Oryzias latipes: one gene and its partners. The protein of the gene in region 3 interacts with the protein of the main gene of each other region in a biochemical or structural test. Links are inferred from orthologs where the notes say so. Each region holds a gene or a part of one and is shown on either strand. Other genes may lie near its edges.

Region 1 (4,914 bases), about 8.2 Mb from region 3:
AACGCTTTATTTCATTCCATCTCGGAAAGCTCAGATTAAATCTGATCTCCTAAAAGTTAAGCAAACACTAAAAGACCCACAAACTAGAGGTCAAACATAGTACGGCAGGTTTGACGGGGATGAGAGTGTGCAAAAAAACTCTTTCACCTGAACTGTTTCTCGTTGCACATGAACTGGACCAGGCCCTCCTCATCAGGCTCGTTCCACTTCAGCTCCACCGAGGAACAATCCACCACCTCCGGCTTCAGAAACAGACCCCTGGCCTCTTTATACAGCCAGTCCTCTGGGGCCGAGTGTTTCTGCAAAGAGACAAGCAGGGTAGATGGAATCAGAGGTTGATGCTTCGAGAGCAGCTGCAGCTGCAGCTTTGAAACCTCACCTTTGAATCGATGTTTTCTAGGATCTCCTCGATGCAGCCGTGCTGTCGGATCAGGTCCACGGCTCTCTTGGGGCCAATTCCCTTGATGGTGCCACAGTAGTCGCAACCCAGCAGAATACACAGATCGATGAACTGAAATGCAGAGAACGCTGTCAAAGTGAAGGCTTCCGGATGGTTTTATAAGGAGCTTTATCTGTACAATCATAGAAATGATTTAAAACAGAGAAATGTACCTGCTCTTTGGTCAGGTCCATGTCCTGCAAGATGCGATTAAAGTGGAACTCTTGAATGGGAAGCTTTCTGAAACAAGCAGGAACATCTTTGGTTAATAGTTCTTTCCACTCCTTTTTGAGCATGCATGGAACATGAAGCAGCAGGACATACTTGGCTTCGCTGGCAGTGAGATGTCTGAGCAGCACGTTTGTCCCAAAGGTCAGGCCGTCCATGTCTTCTGTTGCCGTGGCAAAGACCTTCCCTTCTTTAACTAAAGCAGCACAGCTGGCTTCAGCCTCACATGGAGCCTGAAAAAAATGGTTGTACCATGCTGTGTCACAGAGGAATGTGTCTGAAAATATATTCAATAAGTGTTTAATATTTCTGTACTCTTAGATCCAGCGTACATAAGCAAAACTAAAATATATGGTAACAAATGTTAAAATACAGCAAATATAGCAAAAGGAAAAGTATGATACCTCAATGTAAGGAACGCCCATCAGGGATAGCAGCTTTTTGCATTCGTCATTATGCTGCTTAGTCACTTTAACCAGACGTTTGGTGAATTTTTCTACATTTTCTTGTTCTCCTGATTTTTAAAAGACAAAGAGGACATTATTAATCTGATCAGATAAAATACATAATCATGTTCTTTCATTCCTGCAATCCAATCAAGAAAATAAAGAAGAATGTGGCAGAAATGAATTTTTTTTTTACCCATTTCCTGTGCTTGAGCAAGCAACTTCTCAGCTTCTGCCCTCCTTTCTCCTCTCTTCTCAAGCTACATGATATGCATTTTTAAAAAAAAGGTGTTAAAAATACACAAGATGCAAATTAATTTGTGTCATGCAATATCATCTATGCTCCTTAAATGGTAATAAAAATCTGCAGAAGATCTTCAAGACAGCACTGACCTCTGATGATTTGAGCTGTGGAGGCTTCCCATCAAAAACGTACACCGGCTTGATCCCATGCTCCAGCATGCGGATCGTTCGGTAGAACATTCCCATTAGGTGGCTGTGAAAAGTAAACACAGTCATTTAACACTTTAGATCTAATAAAAGAAAAACTGCAGCAGTAATTCATAAACGCCCCATTCCCTGTTTTCCTAGTGTGTGTTGCTTCATCTGTACCTTGTTGTTTCCCCATCTTCATTCTGTAGAACATTACCATCCTGTCTCACAGCAATCAGGAACTGGTACATGCACATGGAGGCATCGATGGCAATTTTCCTGCCTAAGAAGAGAATTCAGCATCAAGCAAATATACAGTGATTGATTTCAAAACTAGAGCCCTAGAAATGACAAAAAAAAATAAAAACTGTTCACTCACATTAATAACTTCTGAATACGCATTTAGTGTGCATACATTTTGTGCATACAAGGTAGCCTTTAGTGCACACAAATTAATAATTTGCAGCCAGAATCAGCATGTTATTGGCACAAAGTAGCACTTGGTGCAAACAAATTCGTATTTTGCTGCCATATTTAGCTTGTTCTTGGCATTTTTGGGTGACGATTTAGTATTTGTAAGCACAAATTAGTAGTAACAACTGATGATATTAAATTACAAGTTTATGGTCACAAACTACTAAATTCTGACCACAAAAATGAAAATGTGACTGCACAAAGCTTTAATTTGTGGCCACAAATTATTAATTTGAGGGAACAAATTAATTATTTTTTGCAAGTTGCTTGCATAAATAAACAAGAACATGTGCAGTTACCAAAGTAGCTCTTAATGTCTTGCTCTTTGATTGCAGAAGGGGCATGGTCAGCAATCAGTTTGGCAAGTCCGTGTATTCCCATTATTGGATGATATCTGAAGGAAAAACAGCACTTTATTCAAGTTTTCAGCACAAAAACATTATCATCATGGCAGTCAACACATTCCAAAGTTGTGGGCACTTCTGCAGGCGGTGATTAACTGTTCACATCATCTTAACCCATTGGAAGCACAGAGGACTCAATGTGAACCCGAAAAATAGTGTTTACGACAGGTTTGTATGGAGCCTTTAAATCTAAGTAACATAGCGGTAACCGCTGGTACTACTGTACTAGTCGGTAGGATGCATTCGCCCTGGGCCTAGCTAAGCTTGCATTGGTACTCTGCGACTGACGGGTATACAGGAAGTCGACATGGTCATTTTAAATTGAAATGACTAATAACGACGTAAACAAGTGAATGATATAAAAGTAAACGTTTTCTTGCCTACCTGTTAGCAATAGCACCGTGGAATAACCAACGACCAAAGAGGGCGGGAGGAACTGTGTGTGTTTCGCGGGAAATCAAATGGCAGGCATTACCGGTCAAATTATCGAGGACAGAATCCCGAAAAGGAACTGTGAGTGTCCTCATCGATGTTGCCGGTTCGATTAGTCTGGCTTGTGCGAAAGCGCAGAAGTCACAAAAACGCACCTGATTGGTTGATTGAGGTTACAGGAAATCCGGTCTATCAGACAAACATAAAAAAAATTATTCAGTCGTTGTAATATTAGCCAAAACGTCCAAATTCATCATTCGGAGTCGTTATAAAAGAACCCCCTAAAAATGTACTGCTTTTAAATATATTTTTATGTCAACTTTTGACGTACCAAATATGTTGCAGGTGTATTTTTCGTTTCTCCGCCCACTCCGGAAAACTAAAGGGACTCGTTATTTTTATTTTTAAGGTGACGTGTTGCCGAGTCCTTCTTTTTTGTTTCCGCCGACCAATGTGGCACTAAATGTACCCGGATATGATCGACCCGAATGTCTAACCCGCCAGTACACTTTATCGAGGGTTTCCGACATGTTTAGCCGTTAGGTTGTGCCTTAATTGCAGTGAGCTCCACCGTCGGCGCATACCGGAGCAGAGAAGACTGTCGGGGCCTGAAGTCCACGGAGTCTGACGGACAGAAAGTCGGCTCTTCACCATCGGCATTGAGGTGACACGGCAGTGAGATGAGCGATTCGGATGTTTACAGCATTCTTGGGTTGTTTTTGAACAGAAATGTTTAGCTCAGAGGGTCGATAAGATCCTTTTCTCTTATAGTCACGTTAAGGGACACTGATTGAAACAACAAGACTACTCAGATTTTGGCCTTACTGCTTTAATCACTGTTTGTTAGATGAATCCAGTTATTCTGCTTCTAATCTAGTTTACATCTCCTCCAAAGAGTGACTGATTTGCCTGCTCTAAATGTCTGTTTTTGCTATTGTCCTGATTCAGATGACAGCTAAGGTCTTTCCAGTGACATGATGATCTATCTGACAAAAGCCTCGCTTTGGGAGATTTAAAAAAAATATTAATTATTTACCAATAAAGAAAAAAAATCCATATTCTTTGCAGTAAATGTCAGGAATGTGGCCTGACAGGAGCAGGTTTGACATGGGATTGTGGTCATGAAACCATGCTGGTCATCTATATCTTAAAAAGCAATTATAAACTGTGTTGAACAAGTTATTTCCAAACTCTAATCCAGTACAGATTACTTGTTATTGCTCTTCAAAAGTAATCCCAAAACCTTCCAATATTACTGTCTCAGAATTACTTTCTTGTTACTTTCTTTATAATATCGGTACAACATGATAGTCTAAAGTAAAATGGTAATTCGAAAACTTTTAAATTCACACGAGGGGCAACATAGTTTCAAAATTGCTAAAAAATGATATATATATATATATATATATATATATATATATATATATAGTTTTATTTTGGTAAAATGAAAGCTACCATTAGCTTTATCAATAAAAAAGGAAAATATAGAATATCTACTCTTAAAAATAACAACAAAGACTAAATAAAGAACTAATACTGTCTAATAAGAGTGTATTTAAATAATAGTTGCCTATAACAACAGGACAGAAGTGTTTGTGTTTGTTTTTGGTGTTTTGGACATTTTCTTTGGGGCATTTTTATTATGATGGAGGACATGTATTAAAAACATTGAGTTTGAAATTGTCTTTCTATATATCCAAATATAATTATTCACAGTGTTGCGAAATTAGGAGTAGACGTAAAAATACTGTTGGAAAAAACTTGTATATCGGCAAGTCACAAGCTTCCGCTCTGCTCCGTTCTGATGCATCCACTTGCAGACGACCAGATCCATGTAGGTCCTGGTTTTTCTCGTCTGAGCTGGCATCTGATTCAAAACTGTACGTCTGGATAGCTCCTATATTTCTCTGCATTTTTGTTAGGGGTGTGAGGGACTGTAAGCTAGCAGGAGAGAGCGTAAACAAAGGGATGATGGGAAATGAAGGCAGGCATGTTTGCAATTGTCAAAATAGAGATTTGAATTCACAAATTAAAAATACATAAAATAGAAATAGCTCAC
Region 2 (4,036 bases), on a different chromosome or scaffold from region 3:
GCAACTCACTAAAAAAATCAAACTAAAAACATTCTCAGTTAATTGTCATCAATTCTATAATTATCAGGAGTTGAATATCAAAGCTACCGTACAACCGTTAGAAGCTAACGTTAGCTGCTTCAGCCCGTTTTCCGATGTTTGCGATGCCGCGTTTTATCAAAGTTAAAGGCGACACTTAAGTTTTCCCAACACAATTCCACGGACACGAGCGGGATTTTCACGCCACAATAGACAAAACTGAAGACCAAAGAAGTCCGTGAATAAGTAAGGATGTATTTTCAAGGCTTTACTCTTACCTTATGCTGTAATAACTCATGTTTATGCACGGTTACTAAGGAAAAGGCTCCTCGAAGAAAAACGCTTTTTGCGGACGCAGGAGCTGCGGATGAATACTCTGCCTTGGCAACCAAGCGGACCAATAACGAGCACTCCTATTGGCCGGCTGTTTTCCTAGAAGGAATCTAATTGGTTTACATCTGGGGAAAAGGTGGGAACAATAAAAGGTTTTCTCTAAAACGAAATGGGCTTCAAATGACCATCCAGTATGACTTAAATTTCTAATATGTGTTCAAAACTTAGAAAAATAAATAATTATTAATCAGATGTCAAATTCATTTATTTTTCATTTGATTCTTGTCAGGCAACATCAGGAAAAAATAATATTATTTGGGTGTGCAAGAGAAATGAAAAAGGATTTTTTACAAAAATTAAAAGATTTATGATAGAATAAACTTAAGTGACTAATCGAGGAGGCCCCTTTCCTTTAATATGATCATCAATCCCTTTCTCCTCCTCCACGTCACCTTCACCCCATAGTCCCTCTCTGGTGTGTCGGAGACCAAAACATTAGGATGAAGATGACACTGCGGGGAGGAGGGATCAGCCAGCAGTGAACAAACAGGGGGAGACATGGGGCAACTGTTCTGCTTCATTGTTGGAGTGTCCACTTCAGGAGGCGGGTCAACATTGCCAAGTCTAGGGCTACTACACCCACCGGGTGGAGTTCTGCTTTCCTCCGTTACCTCTATTAACTGATTTTCAGGTTGGTGCAAATATTCACTGTGAGATGGAGCTCTGTTTAAAGATTTTTGAGGATTTCTTCGTCTCTTAGGTGCAGGTAAAACTGTCCTATTGCTTTGACATGATCCCTGTGGTTGATCTTCAGGCATTGACGTCACCTCTGCCGCTTTCTTTGTGCGCTGTCCACTTGGATTATGGGACTTGTCTCTCTCCGCCCTAAGAAATAATAACGATGGGTATTTGCACACTTTGTGTTTCCTGGACAGCTCGTTGCACGTGTCAAGAATCCTTGTGACGGACTGACAATTTCTTCTTCCTCGTCTAAATGGAGGTGTAGCTGAGATGTCAAACTGGGGTTGAACCTGAAAGGTTGGGAAATTTATAGTTAAGTAGACTTTTTTGCCAGTTATCTAATCAACTAAATCTATATTTGTAATGTTTTATATATTTTTATATATTTAAAAGACTTTTACCCAGGAACTGAGAGCTGAAGAGCTGTGTGTCTTGGAGAAAAACTCTCTGGGATTGAGAGCAGCTCTGACTTCAGGCACATTTTGAAGTCTGGCGCCACTCACAGGTCGCTCCAGGAATTGCAGTGCAGGCTTGTCTGTCTTTGCCGCTTTCCGGGGCATCAATTTAAATCAATCTTAAGCATCTGTTCAAAACAAACAAGAGACAAATCCGATCGAGTAATCTTGTTAACAATACACATAGCTTTAGTCGTAGATCGAGGCTGTTTACATATTCGCATTCAAGTGTTTACTTTTGAAACGCGTTCTTTACTTACCATATTGTGCTTTTTCCGTGATTATGTGTCCATGTACGGAATACGGAATAAAAACGTTCCCTTATTTTTCGGTTCATTCAGACCTTTTTATCTTAGCTTGTCCGTGTTGTTGTTACTTTTAATTTCCCGGATTTTTTCTTTGTCTTCTTCGGGTTAGCGGCTGGCCATCTCGAGCTGCGGCCCACAGCGCCACCTATTGAGCCGCCCAGTGTTTTTTTCTGCGTTTACTATTGGTCCATTGTTACCATGTGATCAAAGTGACAGTCGGGGCAGCGCCCACAGCGCCAAAATTCAAAACTGTTTATGGATTGACTTTTTGTATCTAATTACTACTAAATACGTCGGTTTTGTGAATATTTTAAATGTTTTCTTTGATCCGACAAGTGGAATTGAAAGCCGAACCAAGCCTGGAATTGAATGAAACGCTGCAGTAATTCAGTAATGTGAAGGTCTGGCTTCATTTTTCCACTTGTTTCCTCCATCGTCAAACAGCTTTAGCATAGCTAGCTTAGCCTAGCTGTAAATAAAGGAAACTATACGCTAATCGGGACATTGGCTAGGCGCATGTTATTTTTTGAATTTATTTTTTGTTTTATTGATTGCATTGTGTTAACATGTAAATATATGTTGCACTGAATATCCACTAGATAGACGTTATTGAAATTAAACCTATCATCAACTGAAAATTATAACGACTGGCATGTCGCCAAGGGAACCGAATAAAATCTTCACTTTCGAGCGAGGGACTGTTGGGACTTTTGCAGCAAACAGACAGCAATAATCGGGTTTCTTTAAGTTTGAAGACGATATCATAGGATTGAAACATCATTTTTGACCGATTACTTCGTATTCTATTAGCAGGTATGTTGTTTTCAGGCTCACTAGTTCGGGGTTATCGTTAAAGTCAGTATTTAAACGTTGTAACGTAATGTATTGATAAGGTGTTTAACTTCTGAGTACTTTTTGAGCCATAACTGTAGCTCAAGACCTTTTCCCCCTCCCCACAGATTTCCATTGAACACCTAAGGCCCTTTGGATGATTTGAACCATGAGACGGAGCCCAAGGAGACCCCTGATCCTCAAAAGGCGCAAGTTACCTTTTCAACAAAAGGAACCCACCCCAGCAGACCCATCCAGGCAGTCCGGTGGCTCCAAAGAGCCGTCAAATTCCAGCGACAGTTCGTGCTTCCCAGACGGGGTCCGCTTTATAGGCCACCCATCCCTGTCAGACACTCAGGTTGTGGTCATTCCCAAAGCTACAGACGTTCAGAGTGTAATTAGTGTCCTCGCCGCTAAAGGCAAAGACAGCGGAGTTCAGGGTCCGAGCAAGTTTATTCTCCTGAGTGACAATGGCAATCAGGATCAAGCCGGATCTTTCTGTGAGACTGCTACTTCTGGAGGAGATGCTGTTTCCACACAAATCCCATCTCAAGAACCAGCAACAAAAGAAAGCACTCACACATCCCTTGATGTGACTGGCATTAAACCCTGTAAGGAATTTGCACAGAGTTTAAAATTTTATGTCAGAAATGCTACATTTAACTGAAATACCTGCTTCAATATATATATATAATTTTTTTTCAGTGAGTAAAGATGGGAATAGCGGCCCTTTGGATGACAGCCTCACCAACATCCAGTGGCTGGGCAAAATGAACACATGTGCTCTAGAGTCAGAGCCTGCAAAGCAAATACAAGGCAAGGAGAACCAGGCTCCCGTGTCTCAGACTGCTCAGGTCAGCTGTTTGTCTTTTTTTTTCCTTCCACACGGTTGTGACTTTTGCTGCCAGTGTGCAAACAGATTCTTGTGTGACAGGAACACAAGTCTGAGGCAATGTTGTGGCACGTTTCCTAAAATTGAACAGTAACCCGTCTGCCTGAGGAAAATGTCACCATGCTGTGATTTTTCACCATTTGTGAGGTTTAGTCACACGTTTTCATTTTATTCTAAAGCTGCTCTTTGCTGAAGATTTTGACAAAACGTAAGTTTTTTGTGAGAGAAAAATAGATACTATTACCCACCATCTGAACTGAAACTTTGATGAATTATATATGCTTGAATGGTGATTTAAATAGTGTTGCATGACATAATTTACAAGAACATTTATTGCAATGCTCCATAAATAGATGCTAACTTTGTATATTTGTGACTTAAGTAGCTCAATTATGATGTTTATTACTATGTATAGATTACAAAGGCTTTGATTTTACCCATATATTTGTATGTATGTA
Region 3 (4,848 bases):
CTATGTAAACTTGTAGTTGAAGAGTGAGATAAGCTAATTCTCTCTAAGAGTTCTGGTACATTGCCTGTCTGTCCTGGGGGAGGATCCCTCCTTCATGTGGGCACCCCTGAGGTTTATTTGTTTTTTCCGGAATCTGTTTATTTAAGGAGTTTTTCCTTACCGCCAAGGGGGGTCTAAGGACAGGGATGCCAGTTTAGCTTAGTCTGTTTGGTTAAAGTCTAGTATTATCCTATTGAATTCTATGCCCTTATGATCCTTTTCTATTGTATGTTTACCTTACAATTACCGGTACGAAGCCCACTGAGACGACTGTTGTTGTGAATTTGGGCTATACAAATAAAATTGAATTGAATTGAATTGAATTGATTTGAAACTGCTCCGTCGCTGCGTGAAAAGATGTTTGGTGTGAATGCAGCTCAAGGTAGCAGCTAGCTCACATCCCACTGATCCACGTCAGCCAGTCACGGTTCTGATGAGCGGCCCAAACGCCAAGATCCGGGCCAAAACAGAGAACAGAATGCTCACAAGTGTGGACAGCAGGTGTTGCTCAAAGCTTCAAATAAACCCAATGGGATATCATGATTATGAGAACCGAGATCATCTATACCGTAAAATTATCTAAACCCAGAAGAACCAACCTGAACCCTGAGACTGGGAGATTGTTAGTAAGCTTTTATGAAAATCACAGATCTTCCCTGAAGACAGTTTCTCCTAAGCTGAGGGGTCAAGTGCTCAGAGCAGGACTTACCAGCTCGGCGCAGACAGTCAGACAGGGGCAATGCTTCTTGGTAAGTTTGACTTTAACAGATTTGGCATTCTGGATCGTCTTCAGGGCTCTGGACAGGTTCTCTGGAGCCAACTCCAGACAAATCTCATTGTTCTCTGGAGAAACGCCCTCCATCTGGTACTCGTCGAAGAAGTTAGCCTGCAGTAGGTTTAAAATTGCTTAAAATATTCTTCCTGCAATGCCAAATCCAAACCAAAAGGTGGCGTTGCTCACCTGTGACAGCTCACACCACATGCTGACTCCTCCATTGGCCACTTTCCCTGACAGGACAAAGAAAAGGTTGTCCGGGTTGAGCCGCAGCACGCACGTCTTGGTCAGCTTGGAGATGGTGGTGACGACTCCTGGAGGAAGTTAGCAACCACTGTCAGTCCTGAGCACACACTGAACCCGTTTACTCCACATGTTCACCATTTCCTGTTACTCAGGGCTCCAGACTGCGACCATTTGGTTGCATTTTGCGACCAAAATTTGAGAGTGTGCGACTGAATTTTACATCTAGCATGTGCTAGATATCTACCAGTAAATTTGCCTCCCCCACCCTCCGTATTTTTTATACATTAAACGTGGAAGGGGCACGTCAATGATCAATGAAATGAGCAATGAAATAAACAATGAGACGATTTAGTCTTAGACGCACTTAAAACACGTGTGGAAAATGCAACAATAGTCGGGTTTACGATAAACCAGCGCCCTGGGGGGGGGGGGGGGGGGGGGGGGCATGAAGGCGAAGCTGCAGCGAGACTGAAGGAGAGCAGGAAGTTGTAGTCCTTAACATTCAATTTAGTTTTAACATGCCTCTCCCCTTAAGTATGATCTGTGATATTACATCTTTTATAATTATTTTAATGTTTTGGAATGTATGTAGCTTTTTTTAATCAGTTGGTATTTTAAATTATTTTAATTGATCAGTGAACTACAAAAAACCCATCAGGAAGCATGTCCCATAATGCATCGTTTTGTAGTCTGTAGGGCAGCTTTCAGTCAGTTCAGTGCTAAATTTCTAGCTGCGTTCGCTCAGGTTGAGGTCTTGCTTCCGCCCCTTTCTGGTGATATTTTTGTTTTGATTGACAGGTGATGTTGAGGAAAAACAAAAATATGTCTCACACCAGGTGATCTGTGCAGCGTTGCGTCCATCTGGGTGATCTCAAATTATTGTGCATCTTGGCTGCACCTATTTGGTGTCGCCAACATGAATTTCCATCCCCTAATGTTTACATACATTTAAGTATTGTTTGAAACTGTGAAATGACCGAAAGGTTACTACGGTATTCACTTGTTACTAAAAACTTTTTTTTAATGTATGGTATTTTGTTTACTATTTGTACTGTCATGACAGCGATGGTGCTGTCAGTTTACCTTGTTGCATCTTCAAAAGTGCAGAATAAAATATGACACTGAATTTGAAACAGCACGTTGTAATTTCGGCATCTATTATAAAAGTATTTATTAGTAATACAGTGGAAATTAATAGATTTGGTTAGCATGTTGATTTACAATATGCGCCCCTAAATTTTCTGGTTGTGGCCCTAAAATTTTCAGTTGGGGGCAACAGTGCTCCTAGTGAAAAAAGTTAATCTGGAGCCCTGTTACTGGATGTTTTCAGTCAACAGTTGGACAGCAAAATGAGATTTCCTTTACCAAATAACACCAATTATTCGATAATAATACGGCAGATTAACACATTTCTCCTCAAAACAGGCACATTTATTTATGTTTATTTAGTATTTTTTTATATCTGCACTCACTGGGTTTACCAGATAAGTGAAGTCAGGTTGTTTAAGCCAACTGCAGTTTTCTCTTTTAATACATTTTCGTTTGTTTCAAACTACTAGTTTCTAAAGTCAGTCTCTGGTTGCTATTATTGGTCACATTATCAATTAAATGTTAAAATATTTTAAAATGTTCGTCAAAAATAATTTAATTGAACATAATTGAAGGGCTTACTCATACATTTCAGGTACAGAAACAACAGAAATGCACACCTGAGGTTAAAAGCCCTTTAAAAATATATTTACAGAACTCCTATTCCCAACATGCAACGCGACACGACAAACGTTTTAAGTTTTTCAAAGTCGTCATTTAAGAGAATCATATTAGATTTATTTGCTGATCAGATTGAAGTGAATTTTTACACATACGAAATTTATAATGTGAATGAAAGTGGCTCGTAGATAACTGAATGTGACATCGTCGGCTCTCAGTTTTCGGTAGTTTTTTTTTTTTTTTTTTTTTGCTGTTTGAAGTGACTCACGGGTGAAGTGGTTCAGACACGCCACGTCCACGATCTTCCCCCGAAACTTCATCTGGACTCTGAGACCAAATACTGAGGTTTTCTGCTAAACACAGCTTCTGCGCATCAAACGCAGGCGGGAAACCATTAAAGCGCTCTGTCTTGGTTAGGTCCGTCTGCGTAAAATGTTCCCCGGAAACAAAACAATAATAGTTCCTGTCTGAACAGATACATAACTTATAAATCCAGAATATTCGAAAGTTGTTGTAAAAACTGAAACGAATTAGACTTGGTATTAAAAGGATAAATCAATCTTTATTTATACAGCACTGTATGCAGCTCAAAGTGCATTAAAAGTGTGACTATATAGTCAATGGTTAAAAATAATGTTGCAAAATTTATACACACCTACGCCCACATCAACAAACAAAAAAATAAAGATAAAATCAAGTCTAAAAATGTTAAAAATCTTAAAAGAAATTAACAAAAAAAACTTCTCACACAGGAAGAAAAGGAATAGGTCAAAAGTTGAACTGATTGTCAAAAAATAAATAAACACAATGTCAAACTTTAATAGCCTGCAGCAGTAATGAAATCCCAAATCTAATTAACAGACTCAGTAAGTTATAAAACCCTCTCAGAACTAACAAGTTTAGTTGAACAGCAAATGATCTGCTCCTCATGTCTAATAGATGATTAAAAATGTCAGCTGTGGTCCTTCAGAGACACAGGTGCATTCCCGTGTGTTGTGGTTATGATAAAGGTTAGAAAGGTCAAACTCAGTACAGAACCGTTGAGAGTTTTGGACGACAGGTCTGTGTGGGAATTTGGTTTTGAGCTGTTCAAAATTTTTAGTTTGTTGAAAATTACACAGTTTACGTGTATTTTGCATAGTTTACACGCAATTATTCTTACGCAATTGTGTGTGATTTTTGTGAGATGTATATGCAATTTTGTGGCTTTGCACGACCATTCCACGTATGTCTAACAGACTTTTCACGCATGTATAACTTTTATATCACGTCTACGGCGCACATATCACGTTAAAATTACTTTATTGGCGCACAAATCACTAAAGAATTCCATGTAAACGGCACAATGATCACACAAGGTTCATGATCTACAAGTCCTGGCTCCTCTGGCTGTTTGTTTCACCTGAAACCTTCAAAACTTTGGTCCTTCAAGATAGATTTGTGTGATGCTTGAGTTCAGTGAACGGAAGGAACAGATGGACTGTAAGTCGTCAGTAACTAAAGTAAATTGAATAAGTAAAGCCACATTCTGCTCCATCCTGATGTCAGACAAATAGATCCAAAGGTTTCTGACTGCAGAAATATTTCACTGCAGATCTTCTTTCCCTTCTTTCTTTTAAATATTTGCTGCATTTGTTTAAAAAGAAAAAAATGGTCATAGGTGAAACAGCAGGTCTTTGTGGGTGATTAGAGAAAGGCTCAGTCCTCTTTACCCAGAACTCAAACTTCAGCACGTTGGACACCATGTTTGGTCTTATCATCTGAAGAAGGTCAAACATTTTCACTCTGAGGGCAGACTGGTAAAAAGAAAACCTCCATGAGAGAGCTCTTTGTTTCCTGTCTGATTAATCCTCTTAAGAAGCTGCAGTTTCTGTTTGAAACAGGCTGGAGTAAAGGGTTGGAAGCTGCTGGCTGAGGTACAACTGTGTGTTTCAGATTAGGAATCTTTTTCTTCTTCTTGGAGCTCAATTCATCTTTATCTTCAGGCATGAGTCATCTGCTGAAGGTTAACCTGACGCATGCGCATGAGGTTGATTGGTTCTCTGTCCAATGACAAGCCGCCGTTTTACATAAAGTGC

What was found. The genes of interacting proteins can lie anywhere in the genome.
Region 1: the proteins of hus1 (region 3) and fen1 form a complex in vitro, tested with the Homo sapiens proteins (2 studies listed by BioGRID). The link is inferred for Oryzias latipes from reciprocal best matches to the Homo sapiens genes HUS1 and FEN1.
Region 2: the proteins of hus1 (region 3) and rhno1 form a complex in vitro, tested with the Homo sapiens proteins (2 studies listed by BioGRID). The link is inferred for Oryzias latipes from reciprocal best matches to the Homo sapiens genes HUS1 and RHNO1.

Annotation. Positions count from the first base shown.
Region 1 is NC_019878.2:12,533,287-12,538,200, forward strand, and holds the start of fen1 (flap endonuclease 1), read right to left. Parts: upstream 2,920-4,914; 5' UTR 2,808-2,919; intron 2,414-2,807; 5' UTR 2,401-2,413; coding exon 2,319-2,400; intron 1,829-2,318; coding exon 1,726-1,828; intron 1,610-1,725; coding exon 1,507-1,609; intron 1,374-1,506; coding exon 1,310-1,373; intron 1,182-1,309; coding exon 1,072-1,181; intron 901-1,071; coding exon 764-900; intron 680-763; coding exon 613-679; intron 512-612; coding exon 380-511; intron 300-379; coding exon 148-299; intron 1-147. UniProt on the Homo sapiens protein: Structure-specific nuclease with 5'-flap endonuclease and 5'-3' exonuclease activities involved in DNA replication and repair.
Region 2 is NC_019881.2:18,846,721-18,850,756, forward strand, and holds rhno1 (RAD9, HUS1, RAD1-interacting nuclear orphan protein 1), read right to left. Parts: upstream 1,972-4,036; 5' UTR 1,808-1,971; intron 1,676-1,807; 5' UTR 1,653-1,675; coding exon 1,494-1,652; intron 1,383-1,493; coding exon 741-1,382; 3' UTR 620-740; downstream 1-619. Other genes in the region: foxm1 (forkhead box protein M1), read left to right, coding at 2,856-3,297, 3,392-3,540. UniProt on the Homo sapiens protein: Involved in microhomology-mediated end-joining (MMEJ) DNA repair by promoting recruitment of polymerase theta (POLQ) to DNA damage sites during mitosis.
Region 3 is NC_019878.2:4,320,003-4,324,850, reverse strand, and holds the start of hus1 (checkpoint protein HUS1), read right to left. Parts: upstream 3,378-4,848; 5' UTR 3,091-3,377; coding exon 3,039-3,090; intron 1,129-3,038; coding exon 1,001-1,128; intron 926-1,000; coding exon 749-925; intron 1-748. UniProt on the Homo sapiens protein: Component of the 9-1-1 cell-cycle checkpoint response complex that plays a major role in DNA repair. The 9-1-1 complex is recruited to DNA lesion upon damage by the RAD17-replication factor C (RFC) clamp loader complex.